2 linked regions of the Kluyveromyces lactis genome follow. The protein of the gene in region 1 purifies or fractionates together with the protein of each later gene. This does not show direct contact. Links are inferred from orthologs where the notes say so. Each region holds a gene or a part of one and is shown in the gene's direction. Other genes may lie near its edges. The genes, in order: TOR1 and LST8.

Evidence for each region.
Region 2: the proteins of TOR1 (region 1) and LST8 purify together in Schizosaccharomyces pombe (affinity purification with western blotting; 3 studies listed by BioGRID, with this or other methods). This does not show direct contact. The link is inferred for Kluyveromyces lactis from reciprocal best matches to the Schizosaccharomyces pombe genes tor2 and wat1.

What each region holds. Positions count from the first base shown.
Region 1 is NC_006038.1:1,224,850-1,229,481, forward strand, and holds part of TOR1 (phosphatidylinositol kinase-related protein kinase TOR1), read left to right. Parts: coding exon 1-4,632.
Region 2 is NC_006040.1:411,900-414,919, forward strand, and holds LST8 (TOR complex subunit LST8), read left to right. Parts: upstream 1-1,462; coding exon 1,463-2,374; downstream 2,375-3,020. Other genes in the region: type II HSP40 co-chaperone SIS1, read right to left, coding at 1-780; RFX1 (Rfx1p), read right to left, coding at 2,973-3,020. UniProt on the Schizosaccharomyces pombe protein: component of both TORC1 and TORC2, which regulate multiple cellular processes to control cell growth in response to environmental signals. Nutrient limitation and environmental stress signals cause inactivation of TORC1.

The sequences.
Region 1 (4,632 bases):
TTAGATCCGTATAAACACAGAGAAGTGGAACGTACATCTAGTACAAATATTACGGTAGAACAAAATGCCCCTCCAATTGATGTGGCTTTGTTAATGCAAGGTATGTCTCCATCTAACGAGGAGTATTATCCTACCGTAGTAATTGGAGTCCTCATGAAGATTTTGAAAGATCCTTCGTTATCTATTCACCATTCAACTGTTATTCAAGCGATCATGCACATTTTCCAGACAATGGGGCTTCGCTGTGTCATATTTTTGAAACAGATCATTCCTGGATTTATACTGGTTATGCACACATGTCCACCTTCACTTCTTGAGCTCTACTTCCAACAGCTCAGTGTTTTGATTTCAATTGTGAAACAACACATCAGACTACATGTGTCTGAAATTGTGGAAGTAATCTCAGAATTCTTCCCTATCGTAAAGCTACAATTAACTATCATCTCGGTTATCGAATCACTATCAAGAGCCTTAGAAGGAGAATTCAATCCTTATTTACCTAATATACTATCTTTGTTTTTGGATGTTTTGGAAAAAGACCAGTCGAATAAGAAGGTTGTCTCAATTAGAATATTGAAGTCATTGGTAGTTTTTGGACCACATCTAGAGGAATATGCTCACCTCGTACTGCCAACTATCATAAAACTATCGGAGTTTAGCTCAGGAAATTTGAAGAAGGCCGCAATCATTACTATAGGACGTCTATCGAAAAATGTCAATCCACTAGAAATGTCGTCTAGGATTGTGCAAGCCCTAGTAAGAGTCTTAAATACATCAGAACTCGAGTACGTGAAAGCAACAATGAACACATTAAGTTTACTTCTTTTACAACTCAATATTGATTTTACTGTATTCATTCCAGTTATCAATAAAACTTTAGTCAAACAGAACATTCAGCACACAATATACGACCGTTTGGTTGCCAAACTTTTGAATAATGAGCCACTACCGACCAAAATTATTATTGATAAAGATTTCGATTTACCTAATAAAGAAATGGACGATGTAAAGGTAGCTTCCAAGAAGCTTCCTGTCAACCAACTTGTGCTAAAAAATGCCTGGGATTGTAGTCAACAAAGAACAAAGGAGGACTGGCAAGAGTGGATTAGACGGCTATCAATTTCTTTACTCAAAGAATCATCTTCTCATGCTTTACGTGCCTGCTCCGGATTGGCTGGTATCTACTATCCATTAGCTAGAGAATTATTCAACGCCTCATTTGCAAGTTGTTGGGGTGAACTTTACACGCAATATCAAGAGGATTTGGTTCAGTCTTTGTGCTCTGCTTTATCCTCACCAAACAATCCTCCTGAAATCCACCAGACATTATTAAATTTGGTTGAATTCATGGAGCATGACGACAAACCGCTACCAATTTCTATATCAACTCTTGGCGAATACGCTCAGCGTTGTCATGCATATGCAAAAGCTTTACATTATAAAGAACTGGAGTTCATTGAAGAGCCAACAACTTCAACTATCGAGTCCTTAATCAGTATCAATAATCAATTACACCAAACAGATGCAGCAATCGGTATTTTGAAGCATGCGCAGCAACACCACGATCTACAATTGAAGGAAACTTGGTACGAAAAGTTACAAAGATGGGATGACGCTTTGACTGCGTATAATAAGCGTGAGGCTGCTGGTGAAGATTCGATAGAAGTTACAATTGGTAAAATGAGATCATTACACGCCTTAGGTGACTGGGATCAATTGTCTGAACTTGCAGCAGACAAGTGGGCTTCGTCAAAGATAGACATTAAGAGAGCAATCGCTCCTCTGGCTGCGGGTGCTGCGTGGGGTTTAGCTCAATGGGATCGAATCGAGCAGTACATTGAGGTGATGAAACCACAATCTCCAGATAAGGCCTTCTTTGCTGCCGTTCTTTGTCTACATCGCAACAATTTCGATAAAGCACAAGAACAAATCTTTGCTGCCAGAGATCTTCTTGTTACTGAAATGTCTGCCTTGGTGAACGAAAGTTACAACCGTGCTTATGGTGTTGTGGTAAGAACTCAAATGGTCGCGGAATTAGAAGAAATAATTCAGTATAAAAATTTACCACAGGGTTCCGATAGACGGGCTATGATACGGAAGACATGGAACAAAAGATTGTTAGGTTGTCAAAAGAATGTTGATGTCTGGCAAAGAATTCTAAAGGTACGGTCACTAGTTATAAAGCCTAAACAAGATATGAAAGTATGGATTAAATTTGCTAATCTTTGTAGGAAGTCCGGACGGTTAGGTCTAGCTCAGAAGACATTGAACACTCTTCTGGAAGAGAGTAGTGATCCAAAGAATCCAAATACTGCTCGTGCACCTCCACCAGTTGTCTACGCCCAATTGAAATACATGTGGGCTACAGGTTCTCAAAAGGAAGCACTCAACCATTTAATAAGCTTTACTTCTCGTATGGCACACGATCTAGGCCTCGATCCCAGTAACATGATAGCTCAAAGTGTCCCACAGAATAGCAGCGTATCTCAGCATCACATTGAAGACTATACGAAGTTACTTGCTCGTTGTTTCTTAAAGCAAGGTGAATGGAGAGTCTCACTACAGCCAAATTGGCGCCTGGAAAATCCTGATGCTATCCTAGGTTCCTATTTACTAGCTACTCACTTTGATAAGTCGTGGTATAAAGCTTGGCATAATTGGGCATTGGCAAACTTCGAGGTCACTTCGTCGCTTACCCAGCGAATCAAAGATGACAAAGTTCTAACACTTGAAGACGCCTCTACGGAGTTTACCAATGGTGCCGTGGCAGGGCTTGGCGCGAATGAAAATTTCCCTCCAGAACTGGTCCAACGTCATGTCGTGCCAGCCATCAAAGGTTTTTTCCGTTCTATTGCTCTTTCCCAATCGAGTTCTTTACAGGATACGTTAAGATTACTCACTTTGTGGTTCAAATTCGGTGGTATTCCAGAAGCTGCACAAGCTATGCATGAAGGCTTTGGATTGATCAAGATCGATAACTGGTTAGAAGTTATCCCACAATTGATCTCCCGAATTCATCAACCAAATCAAACCGTTAGTAGATCTTTACTATCTTTGCTAGCTGATTTGGGTAAAGCCCATCCACAGGCATTAGTGTATCCATTGACAGTTGCCATTAAATCTGATTCGGTCTCAAGACAGAGGGCAGCTTTGTCCATCATAGATAAGATGAGAATGCACAGTCCTAAACTTGTCGATCAAGCAGAATTAGTAAGTGACGAATTGATCAGAGTCGCTGTTTTGTGGCACGAACTTTGGTACGAAGGTCTTGAAGATGCTAGTAGACAATTCTTTGGTGAACATAACACGGAAAAGATGTTTGCCACTTTGGAGCCATTGCATGAGATGCTAAAACGTGGTCCTGAAACCTTGCGTGAGATTTCGTTCCAAAATTCGTTTGGTAGGGATTTGAACGATGCCCACGAGTGGGTAATGAACTACAAGAGAACAAAAGATATCAACAACCTTAACCAAGCTTGGGATATCTATTATAATGTCTTCCGTCGTATTAGCAGGAAACTCCCTCAATTACAGACGTTGGATCTCCAACATGTTTCACCAAAACTAGCTGCTGCGAAAGATTTAGAACTTGCTGTTCCAGGTACATATCATGCCGGAAAACCTGTCATTAGAATTACCCATTTCGAGCCAATATTTACTGTTATTTCATCCAAACAGCGTCCTCGTAGGCTATCTATCAAGGGTAGCGATGGTAAAGACTATCAATATATTGTCAAGGGCCATGAAGATATCAGACAAGATAATTTGGTCATGCAATTGTTTGGTTTGGTTAATACTTTATTACAGAATAACCCCGAGAGTTTCCAAAGGCATTTGAACATTCAACAATACCCTGCTATCCCATTATCACCTAAATCCGGTCTTTTGGGATGGGTTCCAAATAGTGATACATTCCATGTCTTGATCAGAGAACATCGTGAAGCAAGCAAAGTTCCACTAAATATAGAACACAGAATAATGCTCCAAATGGCTCCTGATTATGATAACCTAACTCTATTGCAAAAAGTGGAAGTTTTCACTTATGCTCTTGATAACACCAAGGGCCAGGACTTGTATAAGGTTCTATGGTTAAAGAGTCGTTCATCAGAATCATGGCTCGAACGTCGTACAACTTACACAAGATCGTTAGCCGTCATGTCAATGGTAGGATATATTTTAGGTTTAGGTGATCGTCATCCAAGTAATTTGATGTTGGACCGTGTTACTGGTAAAGTTGTCCACATTGATTTCGGTGACTGTTTCGAAGCTGCAATTCTCAGAGAGAAATACCCAGAAAAGGTACCATTCAGATTAACAAGAATGTTAACGTACGCAATGGAAGTCAGTGGTATTGAAGGTAGTTTCCGTATCACCTGTGAGAACGTAATGATGGTCCTAAGGGATAATAAGGAGTCCTTGATGGCTATTTTGGAAGCCTTTGCATACGATCCATTAATCAACTGGGGTTTCGATCTACCGACTCAAGCCGTGATGGAACAGACGGGAATAGATCTACCTCTTGCAAATCCAAGTGAGTTACTAAGAAAGGGCGTCATCACCGTTGAAGATGCGGCCAAGATGGAACTACAACAAAAGGCAGAAGTCCGCAACGCAAGAGCCACTCTTGTTCTC
Region 2 (3,020 bases), on another chromosome or scaffold:
GTGTGGTTTTTCCTGTAGAACGAATTGTAATGTTTGTCTACCACCAGTTCTTGGATTATAGTCACCTTCACCTTTGAAAGTAATCTTGGTACCTGCTTTCCAACCTGGTTTCAATTGGATGTCAATTTGGTTCTTTTCGGACACACCACCGGCGCCTTTTCTTGTGATCTTGAATGATTTCTTCTTACCGCTGAATAAATCTTCTAAGGACACAGGTAGATTGACCTGAACAACTTCTTCTTCAGGTCTAGCCTGTTGTCTACTGAATCCACCTGGCATTCCACCTGGCATTCCACCTGGCATACCGCCTGGCATGCCGCCCGAAGAGGAATGGAAACTACTGCCTCCAAACCCGAAATCATCACCAGACCCGCCGCTAGCAGAGAATCCAAATGGAGAAGCACCTCCGGCAGCACCTCCTCCACCAAAGAACTGTGAAAAGATGTTGAAAGCGTCATCTTGTGAGAACGCATGTCCCCCGGCAAACCCACCAGAAGAAAATCCTCCAGGCCCACCAGGCCCACCAGGCCCTCCCGCTCCTCCAAATTGAGGAGCATTACCACGAGCAGCCTCTAGACCATAAGTATCGTAAACTTCCCTCTTCTGAGCATCTGAAAGAATCTCAAAAGCCTCAGAGATTTCTTTAAACTTCTCAGTGTCACCTGTAGGCTTATCTGGATGATACTTCAAGGCAGCCTTTCTGTACCCTTTTTTAATCTCGGCTTCACCTGCACTAGGCGAAATTCCTAGCAAATCATATAATTTAGTGTCCTTAACCATACTCCTACGACGTTTCAAATTTGGTAATTGTCCTTTTGTATATATGTCGAATGATAGTTCAAATTAGCTCTATCTAAACTAGAAGAATTAGAGTAAACTAAAAGAATCAGTTAATGTTTACACTGTTTCGAGATACCAATGGGACAAAAGATGCAATAAAACTCTTCTCTAAACATGTCGATCGAATACCAACGACCAATAATCTTTGAACGAAAAACATCCTGTTCTTTGAAAACCTTTATATAACATTTCATTCCTATATATTCAGGTTCAGTTCTGTTGCAACCGATCATGTTCTTTCAGAGTATACCCTGGAACCTTCTAGAAGTAAAAAAACATGAATGCTTTAAGCACGCGAGATTCATGTGACAATCACGTGATATAGAAGTTTCCCACCAATACAAATCTGTCATCACAAAGCCGCAAATCAGGTGTCATTCAATGACATTAGCCACTACACAATCTTGTGGCTATCTCTATGCCTCCACTTTTGTTTCAATTGCTGTTGTTTATATCTCAATCATGAATATTGACAAATTATGGTTTAATGTGATAAAGAATATGCAATATACTAGATGAAAGAAAGTCTTAAGGAATCTGAGGAGTTTTCAAGGCTTTTTCTCCCCTGTGAACAAGGTAGAGGTTTCTTATTGTGTACGGTCAGACTAACTTCAATATTGCCATGTCTGTTATTCTAGCGAGTGCTGGATACGACCACACAATTAGGTTCTGGGAAGCTTTGACTGGAGTCTGTTCACGAACCATTCAACATGCAGATTCCCAAGTGAATCGATTAGAGATTACGTCCGATAAGAAATATTTGGCTGCTGCTGGTCATTTACACGTCCGTCTTTATGATATACGGTCGAATAATCCAAATCCGGTGTCCTCTTTCGAAGGCCATAAAGGGAACGTAACGTCGATTGCATTTCAACAGGAAAATCGATGGATGGTATCGTCTAGTGAAGATGGGACTATTAAGGTTTGGGATGTACGGTCCCCATCTGTGCAAAGGAATTACAAGCATAATGCACCTGTCAATGAAGTAGCGATACATCCGAACCAAGGGGAATTGATTTCCTGCGATCAGGATGGGAATATCAGGATTTGGGATCTTGGTGAAAACCAGTGCACAAACCAGCTGACACCAGAAGATAACACGCCATTACAGTCGTTGTCCGTTGCAAGCGACGGATCGATGCTTGTTGCAGGAAATAACAAAGGGAACTGTTATGTATGGAAGATGCCTCATCACACGGATGCTTCCACTTTGGAGCCCGTAACTAAATTCAAATCGCATACTAAATATATTACCAGGGTCCTACTATCGGCGGATGTAAAACATTTAGCAACATGTTCAGCAGACCATACAGCTAGAGTATGGAATATAGAGGATAATTTTGAACTTGAAACCACTTTAGATGGTCATCAGAGATGGGTGTGGGATTGTGCGTTTTCAGCAGACAGTGCATACCTAGTCACAGCATGCTCTGATCATTATGTAAGATTATGGGACCTTTCCACAAGTGAAATTGTAAGGCAGTATGGAGGACATCACAAAGGTGCTGTTTGTGTTGCTCTTAACGATGTATGAAACTTTAATCAATATCTCTAAAGAAGGGATATGCGACATAGCATTTTATTGTGGTTTCGTTGATGTAGTAATTTAATAAAAAGATCAAAACTATGGATATCAAAACTCTTATTTACTTTCAACACTTAGATATATATAAAGATGACCTGCGATGATACTGGAAAGTTTCGCCAGGATCAGAAGTTGGTTGTGGCATTCGTTTTGGAGCTCACTTGAGTCGTCGAATGAATTGACAGGTCCAAAAACAATAGTACAATTAATGATCATGAAAAGGAAAAGAGCAGAACGACAATTACCACGTAAATGCAAGAATGGGTATGGTAATAGATACAAAATTAATGGGAAGATTAGGAATGGTTCAATTAGATGGGAAAACAAGTCCAATTTTCGTTTTTTTATTCGTTTCTGAATAGAATAATAGATTAAAGGAATAGAAACGATAACGAATGGTAATAAAGGCAGGTAAATCGAATTTAAACAAGAAAAACAAAAACAAAACAACGAATAGGAGATGGAGTAGGTTTAAAGAGTAATATTCTTAGTGGGAAAGGTAACTTTAGCGTAGAAAAACAATCTATCAAAATTAAAGTTCAGAGGTTCAATCTTTGAGGAATCCTCCAACTTCGGCATACCAAAAGATCCATTC